Neodiprion lecontei: one gene and its partner. Each later gene encodes a partner of the first gene's protein in a complex. Links are inferred from orthologs where the notes say so. Each region holds a gene or a part of one and is shown in the gene's direction. Other genes may lie near its edges.

Region 1 (9,548 bases):
AGTGACAAAATTCTCTGACTATTGATGGTTTTTCCGATGTGTTGCCAAGATACTGTACCAACACATTAGTTTAAAAAATTACATATATATGTGTAACGACAACTACCTTAAATGTAGAAAAGGCATCTGATGCAATATCGAATGTCGAAACTTCGACATATCGAAAGAAATTATAAAAATCATCAGAATAAATCATTATTTTGGCCAATGCCTCATATCGAGCGCATTCCCTCAGCATCGTTCCACAATTTAATGCAATATCTTGATGCTCGTAGCTGAAAGTATAGGAATTCTCTGGTTAAGTTGATTGAATTTTGTTTGAAATTAAAAAACAAAACTGAGTATGATTTATATCTCACAACTTACCCAGACATAAGAGTGAATAATATTTCTGGCTTCGTACAAATATATTCAACTGTTGGCGATCGTGTGCCAATTTGCCTCCGTAAGATATTGTTGAATACCTGAGCCACATCTTTCTTCCCCTGAAGGAATCATACAAAATTATAACAACCTTTTCATATGCACTATTTTGTACTTTATCTCGTTGTGAAAGCAGAGGTTGATGAAGTCACCTCAAAATCAATCCGACTAAGATTCTGGACCAAGAGCAATAGCAGATTGCTGTTGTACAACTCCTGAGCTAGCTGAGCTACGACAATATCAGCTTGAGGCTCTGCTTCGGCGGTCCCATAAAGCATGTTTTTAATATGCACTAAATTTTTGCTGACATCCTCTTGAGCCTGGAAAGATGATTCATGTTTAAATACATAATAGGAATTCTTTTTGGCAGGAAACTGGCTACATGCTGCATACCTTCTCTACTTTCTTATCACCACGTTCCAGGGCATTAACGGCCTCTTTTAGAGCCTTTACAACCTCCGCCGGACTCTTTTGAGATTTTCCGAACAGAGGCATGATTTCTTAGAAGATGAAAACCTTGTGGAAAAATTCAAATTTCATACATTTAATTCATTGCACTGGTGAGCAAGGTATAAGTTGGAGTTTGAAGATGAGTAAAAAATATTAATTCAAGAACCAAAAAAGCAAGCCTGTGATTTAATGAAACATTGATTTGCTTAAACTAATTGTGACTAAGTATCCCTAGACTCCATAATTTTTCAGTATAGATTCAGAGATTGTAATGAATCGATTCATATAATGTTAGAGCTTGATAAAAATAGGAATGAATAGGAAAATTTAGATTGAAAAGCATGGGGCTAGCTTCAAAGTTTCAGAGTTGAAAAAAATTCGGAAAAAATCTAAACAGTGTTGAGTTGTACATTAAGATAACCTATCGCATAGAAATATAGTTATGTAACTTTGTATTTAAATTATTCAATAAGCTTACCATTCAATAAGTAGTTGAATCAATGTACGCAGTTGTTTCTTAGCACTTATAGCACAGATTTCCCTTTTAGCATTTCATTTATACGTAGAACGATACTGACGTATTTTGCGGTTATAAATAAGTTATTCGAAACCTGTCGAAAATTATATGTTTAAGAAACCTGACGTAGAACGACGTTCTCTATCAATTATTCAATGTGTTTTCAACTTTCCACAGTCTTTTTAATAAGTATTAATCTTTCTTAATCTTTTAATATATCGCATAACTCAAGATTGCCATTTATTACAAGCTCGACACTGACGACTGACATTGGGGGCTGTTAGGATTCACTATTGGTCATCCTTCTTATTACTGCTTGTTACTGACCGCTCCTATGTCCAATCAACTCGTAGATGTTATTTACGCTCCTTCAAACACGAATAATAGAAAATAGTAGAGATGGTAGAAATACTATAACTTCATGATGACTCTAGTGTGACGTTGTAGTCTGACGGTCGATCACGTAACTTTAATTTGGCGTGGCTTCTCTGTGAGCGTGTTAATACAGTAACGATCACACTGATATAAACACTTGAAACTCCATGGCGTTGGCTTAAGTTGACTGAAGACTGTTAAAGACGGTATACCCTAATGTGGTCTTATGTGCTTATCGGATTGCGTGTTAAACGGTTAGTGCCGATAAAGAAGCTACCGGATAACTATCCTGAACACGGCTTCTTATGGCCCAAGGCCCATTTACGCGCCGGTGTTGGTTACAAGAATTTGTCGAGGGGTTATCACTAATCACTAATCAGTAGGGGTAATCGTCTTTAAGCGTTCGGGAGTCTCTTTTCTTGCCAGGCTACCGGGTTTTTTCTTAATCTCCCGTTGAGGAAACTTCTGCATTCGGGGATGTGACATCACAGACATAACCTTTTCCAACTACCGAGAGATGGCCTCACTGCCATTATAAATGAAATAATTAATCCACGAGCTTAACACTCTTCATGGGGCTCGACCCTGCGATTTTAGATTAACTAATTTTGTATGGTGATTGTACCGGATCGTAGGTATCCATTGAGTTTGTTTTTGTGATAGAAGATAGCAAAGTGGGATTTTGCATACCGCAGTTATGTGCTTCCAGTATCAATTTAAAATCGTTTTATGGTGATAATATGTCAAAACCAAACATAAGAAAAATAACAGTTGACCCTTCGAAATGTAACACAGACTCTCGACGACCTAGCGTATTTGAGAGGTTGGGTACCAAACCACCAGCAACTTCCACCGGCCAAAACAATTCCGATTACTGTAGAAATTGGGCTCTGAATGGCAGTTGTTCGTACGGCAAAAGTTGCAAGTATGTTGATTATTTGCAACATGACAATTAGTGACCATATACAGCACCATAAATAATTGTCCTGAAATTCGATCTACCACTCTTTATCAGTAACACGTCGTTACAATTGTCAATATTTTTGTCAAATGTCATGAAACTTATTCATGATCTTCCAGTTAAAAATCAATTTCAAAGTCTTCTATGAAACAATTGGCACATTAACATTTATTTGTACTAGGTACGCAATCACGCACACACTGATCAGCCCATCAAAACGTGTGAAGAAAGATAATGCTCTTACTAGTGCAACTGTGGTAAGTGCCTTTGATTCAAAGTTGTCTTCTATATTTGCAAGTATTTCTAATTGAGAGATTTATCAAATTGAAATTCCTCCATCAGTTTCGATGATTATACTAACAAGTTTTTTTTCTATCCTTCAAGTGGTTTTGGAATTAATCCCAAGTATTTTTAAATATAATTAATAAATTGCGTTATGACGAATTACCTACCGTTGACTTTTACAATAGCCTAGCGAAGATCCATTCAAGCGAGTCACATCAAAAATTGTAAAAAAGACGTCTCATAGTCCTGATCTTAATTTGGAAGAGTGGAACCAGACAGATCTGGAATACGAAGACGAAAAAGCTTTAGAAAGAAGACTTCAGCTCTTACAAAGAGAATTAGAATTACAAATGAAGAAAGACAAGGAAATTCATGGCAAGGAAAAGACAACAAAACACAAAAAAAAAGCTATGAGTTCATCATCTAGTTCACACAGCTCTAGCACATCCAGCAGCAGCAGTAGCTCTAGTAGTGATGATTCCTCATCTAGCTCCACTTCGGATTCTCGCAAGAAAGTCAAGAAGGTCAAGTCTAAACGACATCACAGTGCATCTTCAGATTATGATGAAGATAAGGAACGAAAAAAGAAGTAAGTACAACATCTGGCATTTTAACTTGAGCTATATAATGTTTGTTATTTTTAATTTTTTCAACAGGCTTAAGCTTAAAAGACTGGGAACGAAGAATGAAAAACTTATCGTAAAAAAGAAACGCAAGATTGAAGTGTTGAGCAAAAAAGAACCAGTTGTAAAAGCAGCTAAGAAAGTTGCTATTTCTTCATCCAGAAAGCATTCTTCTACCAAGGTTAAATCACCAACCATGTCAGCACATGCTTCCTCCAGTAAAGTAAAGGAGCGAAACCGGAGTGAATCCCCAAAACCAAGGAGTAGGGAAGTGGAAAAAGATAAGCATCATAAAAAAATTAGAGAAGATGAGCCTTCATTGAAAGATATAGTGAAGAATAAGGCTACTGATAAATCAAAAGAGTCTGATAAAAATAAAAGTCGCATTGTGGAAGATCGTGTAAAAACTGATGAGAAATCAAAACAGAGAGTAAAAGATAAAGAAAGACGTTCTAGAACCCCACCTATTGAGAAATCTAAATACCAGTATCCTAAAGATTTTTCTAATACTAAATCGAGGCGCAGTCGAACTCCAGAGAAACCATTGAGGTCTAAACGAGAGGTAACTCCACTTCGTCACCAAGAGAGTAAAACATCTTCTGGAAGATCCAGAGAGATAGATAAAAAAGAACGTGACTCATACAAAGGAGATCGAAATAAAGACAAAGACGATATTCGTAAAAATGATCCATCCAAATCAAAGCCTTCGTCTAGCCAAGAAGACTCCCATCGTAAGAATGCGGTTCGAGACATCGAGGAGAAAAATTATGTCAGTGAACGCAATCGGCAGCGTAGCAAGGAACGTAGAGATAAGGAGCACAACTTAAGGGATGATAGAAGTCATTCAAGATTAGGCAGAGATCAGCGTGATTCTCAGCGAGAAAAAGAACGAGAAGAAGTACAGGAAAGGTGTCGAGATAGACAAAGAGAACGAGATCGTGAAAAAGATGCAGTTAAAGTTCGAGAAAGAGATATACCACCACTCATGGCAACAACTGCTATTAATCCTATGGATAAGAATGGTCGGTATGGTCGAGATAAGGATAGATTCAAAGATGGAGGGCTTGACAAAAGTGGACAGAGGGATAGACGGAGTGAGAGAGACCGAGAAAGGTCAGAAAAACCCTTAGATCGAGACAGAGCTTTACAACGATTTGATGCTCGCTATGACAGATCATTGGATAAAGAAATGCTGCCTCACAAAGGTGTGGAGAGAGATAGACAAGAGCGTTTTCCAAGAGAAAGATCTCTTGATCGAGTAGTTGACAAAAACATAGCTACAGGAGCTCGTGACCATGTTATGGAACGAGAAAATCTTTATGATCGGGACAGGCATAGAAGATTCAATCCTAGGTTTGACAGAGGGCATCCAGCCGATCATGAGCGCAAGGAGCCACCTCATATTCCATCAAAAATAGACAGACTACCGGAACGAAGAGATGGGTCCAGACGCAGCCTAGAAATAGAGAGAAACTACGATAGGGGCTATGCTCGATTGCCACCTGAGCATTGGGAAGAGCCTGAGGAACCTCCAAGAGTTGATTATCGAGATCACCACCCTCATGAAGATGAAAGACGTAAACCAATGGAACCAAGAAGGTACAACAGCCCTTTCGAAGAAAGACGAGGTAGAGATGAACGTCCATCACGCTATGCTATGCAGAGTGAAAGGCCTTTTGAGGATCCACATCTGCCCATATTTTCGGGTGAAAAAATGAGGTCTAGTGTAAACAGGTATAGACCATATACATATAAGATGAACTGTGCATGCAAACCTGAAGCCTGTGCAGCAAATATCAAAAAGCAGCAGTCTTTATATAAAAATGTGCTTAGTTAACCACACCTCTGGATAGTCATAATCACATTTTATCTTTCTCATACAGTAGCAGACACATTACTTCTATTGCTTGGATAGAAAGTGCGCAGTCCATTCTACATTTTAATGGTGTAGACTGATATTAGTTTACATAAAAATTGATTGTATCAGAACTGTCTGGTAGTGTACAGAACTTCATTTGAACTTTACAAATCTTCCAATAATTTTTTTAATCGTCATTTTTTTTTTTTTATAACAGAGACGAAAGTAGTAATGACAATTGGGATGTCCATCATGAGATGGAGCATGGTAGTCGAGACCGGAATTACCAAACTTCTGACTGGGAGGAACGTGAATGGAGAGCGGCTCGACCTCCGATGTGGGATAGAGAAAGTCCTCCACATTCAGAGGTTCATGAAGAAGAATGGGCTCCACGCTATGACAGCCCTATGCCTGATTGGAAGTTGAATGAAGGCCGAAAATGGGAAAGTTTGCCCCACAATCCACCCCACAATCCACCTCACAACCGAGGACACTACAGAAATGACAGAATCAAAGAAATAGACTTAGGAGAACTACATAGGTATTGATAATAATAATTAATATTTCGAAAAATTTAGAAGCATAATAGTACCATATTTTATATCAAAAGTTTGTGTTTCAAGCAAACGACGTCCACCCTATAGCACTCCGGAATTGAGAGATGAATGCTCTGCTCATGGGTCAAAACAAGGATCTTTACATGGCAGCATGAAGGAAGAACCGATAAATAAAAAATTGATGGAATTAGCGGAGGGTAGGGTCAGGAGGAGCAGAGAGAAATCTGTTGAAAATTTTCAGAAAAGAATTCCACAACGCGAAAAATCGGAAGTTAAAGAATCCCCTTTGGCTGCAGAACCTAAACGTCCATGCTTGGATGAATCTCTCCAAACTTTGCATACGGAGAGTGATTTGAGTGATATCAGCGATGATCCTGATGATATTTTGAATATGGAAGAAGAAGAAAGTGAGACACCAAAATTGCCCTTACCTAAAAAAGGTACAGAGATTAATGAACGAGACGTACTTGTACAAACTCCAGAAGCCTCACAGTTATCACCAAAAGAAATTGTAGAAGAGACTATATTTACCAAGGAAAAAGATACAAACGAACAAATGGAATTCCGAAATATCGAAGAAGAAAATATTGAGAATATGGACTTTGAAGAAATATCCGATGGAGAACTTGAGGAGGATATTAAGACAAGCGGCAAGGGCTTGGGAGATGCTTTGGGTGTAGATTGGGAAAGTTTAGTCAAAGAATCTCAGCCTCGTCGAGTTCTTACCATGAATCAAAATACTGCTCAAAGTCGCTGGCAATGTAAAGCTATATTCCAGCGCATTGGTATCTCTATGAAATATGCAGGGGCGGAAATGGTAGAATCCATAACAAAGAAGTACTGCATAGATGGTAAATCTATATTTTACATATTACTAGTGTTTACTATAATAGCTTCAATTACTTCTTAATTCCACGCTACTTTCAGATGCTGATAAATTTCTTCTGAATGACGTCGCCCTTCTACACACTGCAATCATGAGGCAGCAATTTATGACTCGGACATCAAGAACTTCATTAATCAGCGAAAATTTACTATGCAGGTAAATTGAGTACAAAAGAAAATAAAGATGCATATTTAGAGAACCGTTGGAAAAGATTACCCAGATTGGTGAAATTTTCGATTACATTTACATAATAGACTTGTCCATAATTAAGATGAAATAATATGATGTGTCATTAATTGATATTTGCCACGCAATTGTAATGAAAATTAATTTTGGTTATTTCAAATTACAGAAATTATGCTGAGGCAAATGAGGACGATGATGAAGAAACTCTGCAACCTTGCACGAGCTTATGTGAAGAAGCAAAGATATTATTACAAAAAGTTACATAGACATTTCTCATATGCATTGCAATTGTTAATATTTTTATCTTTGTATCATTGCTAAGCATAGTTACTTAGTACTTAGAATATATTAGGGAAAATTGTACGTATTCGTGGTCTTAATATATATAATTCTTTTGTGCGCCTTTTTGTATCGTGTAACTTATGAACGACTCGACCGATTGAGATCATATTCACACAAGACATTTGTATTGTCGAGACGATGGTTCATAGCTATGCAAAGATTGATTTTTTTCAACCGCGGGTCAGATTAGCTTCGGTTCTAGAATAGGTCATTAAATTTAAATGCGGGCGAAGCATGTGAATGTGAATTTAATATTCACAACTTCATAATTAATTTATATTTATTTTTTTGTCATACCAGAAACAAGAGACAACAAATCTTTGGGAGCAGTTAAGTCATTTTGTAATATCAATATCGCAGTCTCAAGCAGGTTCTTACTTTCTTCATTCACCTGAAACTACGTCACGTAAAAGAGTCAATATTCATGATAATTATTTGTTCACAGAAGTCTAAGAATTTTGTACCTGTGACTCAGACTTCTCAATATTAGTTTCTTCATTAAATTGGCGTTTGTTCAGCTCCATCAATGTACTATACAACTCATAAGAGATCAAGCCTAAAATGAGCAGTTATTGAATATTAATGTGGCCACAAAAAAAGATATGGAGAGACGACATTGCAAATATATGTTTCTTAAACTACCTTTCATCTTACATTCGCCACATTTTAAAGTCTCAATCAAGCGTAATAAATCCCTGCAGTATTTTTCCTTGATGCTGAGCTCATCCTTTGTCAAATCTGTAAATCAATTCGACAGAGATACACAACAACCTTCAAGTTTGCACAGTAATTGTATTTACCTTCCCACAAAAACTTCTCGGTTCTTCCAAGACAAGATATTATTCTGAGTTTCATATCAACTGCAACGTAATTTGTTGCAGGTACCAAGACCGACAGTTCACTTTTCATGAATCGCAACATCTGCTTAGGACTTTTGTATATCATCTCTTCAACTATACTTCCCAAAGCTGATCGAATTGAAATAATCTAAAAGAAAAAATCAAACGAAGTTTATAAGTACATACTTGTCTGTTTTACGTATGTAACATACTTGTCTGTTTTTCAGGCGTAATCCGCATTCTCTGCACTCCCACACTGTTGAAGTATCTAAAGGTTCAACAGCGACTAAAATTCCTGAACACTCCTTACGAGCACAACGCAATGCTCCAAGCAAAGATCCATTTTCCTAAGAAGTTATAGAAGATATTGTAATTTTATATAAGTATTTAAAATTATTTAGAGGCACATAGTCAAAATTTAAGTACTAGCGGATCAGTGCATCTACTGCATGTGCAGAAGAAATGTTTAGTGGCAGCTAAATGTCGTCTTCTTAACGTTGTATCCCAAAACAAATCTGTGTAAGTCATAGTTATCTCCTCGTTTTTCTTAATGGGAATAGCAGCTGTTACATATAATCTCTGTTGAGAATCGTAATAATGACGAGTATTGGGTGTACAACAATGATTCTGCAAAGCACCCATTGGGTATAAGCCTCGCAAGCTTGTGACAGACTCCCCAACTATTGCAGCTGTTTCAAACGAATTAGTATCCATTACTGCACACACTCGTCTCATGAACTGTTCCTCTATTTGATTCATTTGAATTTTTATACTGCTCTTTAAAAGATCTATCTGTGAAAATATAAATTCATACAATGACTTTCATATTTTTAATTTGACATACAGTGTCTTTTTTTCACTCAAGTGGTGACCTGACCTCTGAACCATGCTGAGGCCCGGAGTGCCACTGCAGAGTGTAAAGTAGATCTCGCTGTTGCTCGTCTAATAGAAGTGCTCTGATTGGAACTAGTGCTCTAAGTAAGTTAATAGACCAAGAAGAACCGCAAGTGGGTTTCCATGCTTGAAGGAGAGAGCATTCAGCATCGTGTTCAACTGAGAGTTCACAGGCAGAGGAGCAAATTGGAAGGCTGCATCCCTTGTCACAAGGAAACAGAGGACAACCGGTCTTATAGCACACGATGCAGAGCGGCAAATGCTTATCTCGTGTTCTAGGCCCAACTACCAGTGGGGCGTCCACAAAGACAAGCTCTCCAACTGCAATATCTGTTGTGGCAAAAAGTCCTCG
Region 2 (7,945 bases), on another chromosome or scaffold:
ATTCTCAGTTTTTAGTCGATCTTGACGAGCTACATATTCTCGTTATGCGGGCTTTTGATCAATACGTTGTTTTCGCCCTGATCACGATTTTCTTCACCGTTGCAATCGCCACGTCTGCAGCATCAGACGAGCTGAGCAATGACGTAGACGGTCAGGAAACCGTTTCCGTGGTTCAGGATGAGATTCTCCAGGATCTTCCCTCCGAAAAGATCGCTACAGAATCGGCGCATGTTGCCGGTAAGCAGGACACTGACAGACCGGTAAATGGGAGTAAAACCGAGGAGGATCCAAATAAGCTTGATAATCTTTTCGAAACGGGTGTCGAGTCGTATCTGAACGATGACTGGCAAGGGTGCATCGACGACTTCCACAAAGCCCTTAACAGGTTCAACACAGTTTTATCTTGTCTACACAATATAACATAAAACCCAACGTCTCTTTGTCTGGCTGCAAGTATGTTCCCTTATAATTCGAGAACTACCGAACCGTTTTTGATCATTTTTATTTCTGTGGATAGCTACAACGTCTGGTCGGGTTTTAAGATACAACGATGTTTGTAAGCTAAGTTGGAACAGGATCGCACACTTATGCGAACGCTGACTAAACTTTGACAGATAGACGAAAGTTGGGTTCAAGAATTTAAAAGGTCTCGATGAGCTCTACTAAAAAGTTCGCGTTAGCGGTAGCATTTTCCATAATAAGTATTTGTAAATATTCGTGTACGGATCTGCAATGGGCTTTTAGTTAATTATAAGTTAGTAGGTAATTATCGATGTTTATTAATGCAATACATGGTGCGCCGCAGCTACAAAATGCACAAAAAGACGGTTGCTGATTGCCGAAGACAGTGCCGAGCGGAAGTTAACGATGTTGAACCAATATTTCCGTACGACATAGAAGATATGCACTTCTTCGAAAGAAAAGTCAGGGAAACGTTGTGTTTGATGAAATGCAAGAAGATCGTGAGGAATAAAGACAATGATAGACAGTTGCCCGTTCATGTGGAGAGGAAGTACATTGAACGTAAGGCCTACGAGTTTCTGCACATTTGCTATTACAAGGTATGTACAATTTACTGCTGATGAAGTAAAAACGGATTTCAAATATGAGAATTGTTGGAAAAAAAACTTTGGTGCCGAAACGAAATCCCACCATGTCATTTCATTATATCTCGTGTCGCATCACAGATAATATGTTTGTTTTTTTACGCGCGTTATAGACGAAGCGGTACCAGGATGCGGCGAATGCCATTTTCACGTTTTTGACCATTCACCCGACGGACAATCAAACCTTGAGGAACATGCAGTTCTACATAGATCTTCCCGAAGTCGTTCAAGAGGATATAGTAGATTTGGAAAGTGACCCATTCCAAGCAATGTACAAAGATGGAGTTATAGCGTATTACGAAGAAAATTATCCGGAGGTTATTGAGCAGCTTGAAAATTCTCTTAAGGCTTACATGAAAGCTGAAGAGGATTGCAGATTGTATTGCGAAGGTCCATTCGACCAGGGATGGCTTCCAGACTTTACCATGTCCATTGCGAGTGAGTTAATCCGAATTTTCATTCCTAATACGGATTGGCAATTCGCGAATTACATTTGAAACTTTGGAAATTCTTGTCTTATAGAATTTAAACGTTATGTAAACCCAATTTTATTTTCTAGATCACTTTGCTTTCGGACTAAAATGCAAGCGCAGCTGTTCCTACGCATTAAATAAACTCAACGGGGAACAGCGCCACGACTTGCTCATATCTCACTATCATTATTTGCAGTACGCATATTTCAAAAGTAAGATCTAGGAAATAGTTTCCCTTATAGACTTGTGTTTCCATTGTGGATTGCTCATAGTTTAAATTGCTTGTTTAAAAACCGTTTTAGTTGGTAAATTTAAAGAAGCGTGTGCCGCGGTTGAAAGCTTTTTGCTTTTCATACCGACCGATGAGACCGTTTTGAGAAACAAGAGATATTTTATGGAACTACCGGAAGTCAAAGAAGAATACTTCAAGCCACGCGAGGTAATTAATTATCATTATTAGAGTCAGGAACGCACGGTCTTTGAGAATAACTAAGGATCAAATAAATTGATTTGCGAACTTTTATTTCTTTTTTTCGCAGGAAGCCGAGTCGTACTTCAAGAGGCAGGAATACGAACTGCGCATTCTGCTCTACATACAAGAACAATTTAATTCTGCAAAAAATTGAACTGAACAAAACGCACGTCCAAGAACAATTTAATTCTGCAAAAAACTGAACCGAACAAAATGCAGTTTACTTTTTTACAATTAATTTTATGCATACATTCGTTTACATGCATTAATAAATATACGTAAATAATTAAGCTTCTTCAAGCTCAGAGCGCAAATCACCTGTCTTTTAATTGTAGAATTGAAACTGATTACATGATTATTAGGAATTTCGGATTGAATCAAATAGTGGAAATCACAAACCCGAGAAAAACTATAAGTAATTAATTTTACTTTGAAACAAACTATTTCTTCTGATTCGGAATTTTATAATTTTCGAATTAAACCGTTTTTCACTTACACGCAAATCGATCTATTTTATTTTAATTTTACAAATCCTGATCAGATTTTGCCGAATCCGTCGCACATTTGAAAATCCAAGTAATCCCATAAAATTGTCGAATTTTCTTTAACCACGAATAAATTTTTTACTTTCAAAAGTTTTCTATCCACGGATATCGATCAGACATTTTGCATCCCAAGTGAAGCTGGCAACGCCGAGTTCACCCGCTTGAATATTTATACTCCCGGGAAAAAATTCACAAGCAATTCAGTTGATAATAAGATTTATTCGAGAAATATTACAAAATACATTTACGGCGATACCAAACTTTTGATACACTGCGAAAGTTGATTCCTAGTTTCCTACAATGCGTAATAGATAGCCAATTACAACTTCGCAAATAAACATAACCTATACCTAACCTAAAAATACCGCATCCGATTTTCTCGTTCCTACATTTTCGTATATTTATGAGCCAGTAAAAGTTTCGGTAATATTTTTTTTTTTTACTTTATTTTTCCTAGGAAATCGAGGCTTAGTTGTTGTTGTTCGAAATCATAACCTTCGTATGTGATAAGGAAAGAAAAAGAGATGAAAGATGTCTGATGCATTTGAGGAAATTCAGGCGATAAAGATAAAGAGGAACAGTCTAAGAGAAAAATTGCAAAAACGTAAACGAGAGAGACACGAATTATTCACTCTCACTTCGACCCCACCAGCTACAGAATCATCTGTGATTGGTAGCTGTTTAATTTGTTGTTTCCATTACTTTCAGTCTCGTATTTCTGTTTCAAGCCTCTAATTTCAATTTCAGACACGACTAATAACAAATCTGAACCGGTTGAATACGAACAAGATGTCTTGCGAATTTTGCATCAGTGTATCTCCAGCTTACCAATCACATCGACTGATCTCACAGATCAACTCAGAAAAGCTCTCAGCATTGACATATCATTTTCAGATATCAACAAGCTCTTGGAAAAATTATCTGCACAAGACATTATCAGGTATTTACTTAATGAGAAAAGTTTTTTATGCGAATAAACAAAGCACGTAATCTCGCAATATTTTAAGACATTTCATCCGCAGGATCAAGGAAATTACAGAGAACGATGTCGTCGGATATACAATTCTGTCTATTGCGGAATCGAATTCCCAGGCAGAGTTGTTACATACTGAAAACATCGTTGAAGAGGAAAAACTGGGGGTTTCACTGCCTGCCGCAATCGAGGAGGAAAGTCCACCCGAAAAACAGACAAAGCTCGATAAGAAGAATACTGAGGACATCATGTCACTGATATCTATGCCTACAATAAGAGAAAAGGAGAGTAAAAAAGTCGGGGAACAGATACTGGACCTTTTGTCAAAACAAACATCGAAGGAGAAGTCATTGGCCGAACGTTTTAGGTCTCAGGGTGGTGCCCAAGTTATGGAATTTTGTCCACATGGTACTCGTACAGATTGCTCCAAGCTCAATGGCAACAGTCAGCCAGGGTCTGGGCAAGCGTTCAATGAGAAGTGCAAGAAATTGCATTTCAAGAAAATCCTTCAAAGTCATACTGATGAAAGCTTGGGAGACTGTAGCTTTTTGAATACTTGCTTCCACATGGACACTTGCAAGTAATAATTGACTTTATTTCTTTTCCCCGTTTTATAGATTCATCAATGGTGATAGATTCCTGTGAAATTCGTTGATAAGTTTAGATAAGTTCAGCTCTATTTGTTTTCATTTTTTTTTTGTTTTCTCTTGTGCATGTTTCAGGTTTACCAAACTCGGAAAACTAATGATCGAGTCGATAAATTTAATGATTTAGAAACCGAATTGAAGTTGGGTAAAATCAGTAGAGATTAGTTCACTGGATTTCATTGCGTATCACAAAGTACTTCTAAACTAAATTACTATCTTCAAAGTTGCTCACAAAACACTTAAATATTGGTCATCACGTACCTTTGAAAATATTCTTTAAGTACAAAATAATGGGCTTTCGAAATTTCGAAATAATTCTAACAATATTCCAGAATACAGAAACCAAAACTTTTTAAATCATCTGTTTTCAAGGTACGTTCACTATGAAGTTGACGGTCCCACTGCGCAACCTAAAGATCAGGGCGAAGCAGACACAACGACTTGTGGAAATACTTCCAGAACAACTGCTCTAGATCCAAAACCAGTGAGCAATAATAATGGCTCAACGGGAGCATCGGACCTGACACTGTATCCTCCTCAGTGGATCCAGTGCGACCTGAGATATCTGGATATGACAGTGCTGGGAAAGTTCGCAGTCATAATGGCGGACCCTCCTTGGGATATCCATATGGAGCTTCCCTACGGGACAATGTCGGATGACGAAATGCGGCAACTCGGAATCCCTACCCTGCAAGATGAGGGTCTCCTATTTCTTTGGGTGACCGGACGAGCCATGGAATTAGGCAGAGAATGCCTCCAGTTATGGGGCTACGACAGAGTGGACGAGATTATTTGGGTGAAGACTAATCAACTTCAGCGCATTATAAGAACTGGGAGAACCGGTCACTGGCTCAATCATGGGAAAGAGCACTGTCTGGTTGGTATGAAGGGATTTCCCAGGGTAAACAGAGGTCTGGACAGTGATGTCATCGTGGCCGAAGTGAGGGCGACGAGTCATAAACCCGACGAAATTTATGGGATTATAGAAAGAATGAGCCCGGGAACCAGAAAGATCGAGTTATTCGGAAGACCGCACAACGTTCAACCGAACTGGATTACTCTGGGAAATCAGGTCGACGGTGTGCGATTAATTGACCCGCAACTGATTAAAGCTTTTAAGAAACGCTATCCCGATGGAAATTCGATGAAGCCGAGTAAATCTTAGCGATATTTAATATTCTGTATATTTAGAACAAAATTTTCAACATCGCAACCTTGAGAATCTTGACAGCGGACGGATTATTAACAATAAGATAGGAATTACAACTTGACCAAATATTTTGTGATTTTTAAGTTTCAAAATGGTGATTTCAAAAATTCAGACGTGCTGGAATTGAGCAAACAGAAAAAATTTTTAATAAAAAAAATACTAAAAATATTCATTTGTTCTATTTTTTAATCAATGCCACTACAACGATACAGTAGGTACGATATTTGTACTTGCTTTTTTGTGTCACTTTTTCTTTAAATATATAAATCATTATTATAATAGTTGTTCCCAAATTAGCAATAGCAATATCTATTTACAACAAAGTTGATAAATTACTGATCTGAAACAATATTGGAAAAGAGACAGAGTGTCTAAATACCAAGGATATGCCACAGCTGCAGATTATCTCTGAAAGTTCCAATGGATAGAAAAGAACAAGAAACATTTACAGCTTTATTCTATAATTGCAGTTTTGAAAATGCAGAATTATAGAATAAGCCACGTGATCTCCCTTTCTGATTGATGTGATTCTTAAAGTAAATATTTAAATAAATTGACAGATTTTTCACACAAACGAATGAAAGGTTCAAATTTAATTTTCACTAAATGAAAAGTAGCTTTCTTTGTTTTTTATTCTTGGAGAAGATTCCGAAGTAATTCAGCGAATTCGGATCATCAGCATTAAAACACCCTGCAAACTTTGCTGGTGTTGAGTAAAACGTGCGTCTTATCGTCGCCTAAAAGATCTCTCGTCGAATTTAAAAATAATTATTAACTAAAGAGAAAGTATAAGAAAATAAAACCTACGCTTCACGAGTCGTAACCTAATATCATAAAACACCGCGTTTGTCCGAAGTTCTCTATGTATAAATGCAGGAATATATATATTTACATTAGTTGGATCATAAAAAAGTATGACTGATCCAATTATATCAAAAATGAATGCGCATTATTTATCACAAAATGAATTAATTTGCATTGTCTTTCGATTATTTGTATTGTCTATGCAATATATGAGTTCAAAAAAAGTTACGCGGCATAGAGAACACAAAATTGATAGTACACCGTGAATTCTGTTAGCAGTTTCTTGAAGCTGGCCAGGATGTGATTGAAAATTACAAATTTGCTATGACCAGATGTCGCATAAGATAAAAAGTATAAAAATGAATGGATAAAAACTCAAAAAGTCAAAATATTTGAACCTAATATTAAAACTCTGAAATCCGGATAAAAATAATGGATGGCCATAACGTTAAAAAATATGAGAGAAAAATCAAAAAAAAAATCGTTGTATTATAAAATAGATACTTGTCAGAAAATGAAAAATTTAAATTTTTTTGCAATTTCTCTCAAGCATCGATCACACTTAGTCCTGGTTTACCAATTTATGGCTTCGAATTAATTACTAATCGCAATTTATCAAACCGAGCGATTCGCGTAGTTGTTACATCCGAATACGCAATATATATTTAAAAGGGATGAATTTTGAAAAATATATTCAATTCAGCGCTAGTTATTATCCGTGGTTATTAAATATCACACATTTGGACTCCATTCGGATAACCGCATTTGTTTTATCGTCTCAATCGATTGAAATTTCCTTACGTAATCATTTTTTCATAGGTATTAACGCCGACAACGATAGCACTGTGAATGGATTTAATTTGTTTTTTTTTAGTTGCCGGAAAATGAAACACCAGATCATCCGTGATACGTTAATTACAAAAATGACTGTGAAACCATGCGACTAAAAAAATATGTATAATTTCTTAACGCAATGGATGTATATGAATATAGTAGTTATATATGAATAAATCATAGTACTCTTCACACTAGGCTGATGCTGTTTCTTTTATCCCTGAGAAGGCTTTTTCTAAGAGAAATCGGAAAATGACTGCTGCACAAATCTCCGACAGACTTCAGTTTCCTTGTACTTTTCGTTATCGGGGACTTTTCGCTGATTTCACTCATTTTATCCACGTCCTCATTCTCATTCTCATTTTCATTTCGATTCTCTTTTTCTTTCCTTTTTTTGTTCTTTTCCTCAGTTACAATAATATTTCCATCGTGATTTCTTTTTCCATTTGTAGAAATAGTATTTAGCCTACGAAAAGACTCAATCCAATGCCGTTTTGCATGCTCATCGTCAGCATTAAGCGTGTGTTCTGCAACCTTGAATGAGGTAGTATGAATTTTTTCACCCGCCTCGATTTCAAACTGTACCCTTAACTGATCTCGTAATACGACAGGGAAACATGGGTTACACTTTCTGCCTGGTCTCCTCGCTGGACGAGCCAGTACAAAGCAGTTATCAAACAAGAAGCAATGCAGTTTCTGCAAAACAAAATTACTTTCGGTTAGAACATCAGCGTGCTAAGGGAATTAAAGAAAGAAAATTAACTCAATTGAGCGCACCGTTCCTTTAGCATCTCTCAACTGCCCCTCGGTAATGACTTCCACAGCATTTTGTATGACTTTATGAGGATCGCAAACTGGCGAGGGGTTGATTTTATTCTGGG

What was found.
Region 2: zinc finger CCCH domain-containing protein 13 (region 1) and N6-adenosine-methyltransferase subunit METTL3 share a complex: the UniProt entries of both Drosophila melanogaster proteins name them as parts of the WMM complex. The link is inferred for Neodiprion lecontei from reciprocal best matches to the Drosophila melanogaster genes Flacc and Mettl3.

Annotation. Positions count from the first base shown.
Region 1 is NC_060261.1:34,041,330-34,050,877, forward strand, and holds zinc finger CCCH domain-containing protein 13, read left to right. Parts: upstream 1-2,138; 5' UTR 2,139-2,505; coding exon 2,506-2,690; intron 2,691-2,907; coding exon 2,908-2,983; intron 2,984-3,196; coding exon 3,197-3,600; intron 3,601-3,667; coding exon 3,668-5,368; intron 5,369-5,709; coding exon 5,710-6,033; intron 6,034-6,115; coding exon 6,116-6,900; intron 6,901-6,976; coding exon 6,977-7,091; intron 7,092-7,287; coding exon 7,288-7,387; 3' UTR 7,388-7,743; coding exon of another isoform or gene 7,744-7,860; 3' UTR 7,861-7,927; coding exon of another isoform or gene 7,928-8,019; 3' UTR 8,020-8,105; coding exon of another isoform or gene 8,106-8,201; 3' UTR 8,202-8,233; downstream 8,234-9,548. Other genes in the region: protein Mo25, read right to left, coding at 107-275, 367-485, 576-743, 817-918; SET domain-containing protein SmydA-8-like, read right to left, coding at 7,744-7,860, 7,928-8,019, 8,106-8,201, 8,264-8,450, 8,515-8,649, 8,729-9,094, 9,180-9,548. UniProt on the Drosophila melanogaster protein: Associated component of the WMM complex, a complex that mediates N6-methyladenosine (m6A) methylation of mRNAs, a modification that plays a role in the efficiency of mRNA splicing and is required for sex determination.
Region 2 is NC_060264.1:30,608,916-30,616,860, reverse strand, and holds N6-adenosine-methyltransferase subunit METTL3, read left to right. Parts: upstream 1-2,704; 5' UTR 2,705-2,900; exon of another isoform or gene 2,901-3,053; 5' UTR 3,054-3,127; coding exon 3,128-3,269; intron 3,270-3,343; coding exon 3,344-3,536; intron 3,537-3,618; coding exon 3,619-4,149; intron 4,150-4,588; coding exon 4,589-5,381; 3' UTR 5,382-6,323; downstream 6,324-7,945. Other genes in the region: prolyl 3-hydroxylase 1, read left to right, coding at 45-385, 806-1,061, 1,220-1,544, 1,666-1,791, 1,882-2,018, 2,119-2,205; neuroepithelial cell-transforming gene 1 protein, read right to left, coding at 7,254-7,760, 7,842-7,945. UniProt on the Drosophila melanogaster protein: Catalytic component of the WMM complex, a complex that mediates N6-methyladenosine (m6A) methylation of mRNAs, a modification that plays a role in the efficiency of mRNA splicing and is required for sex determination.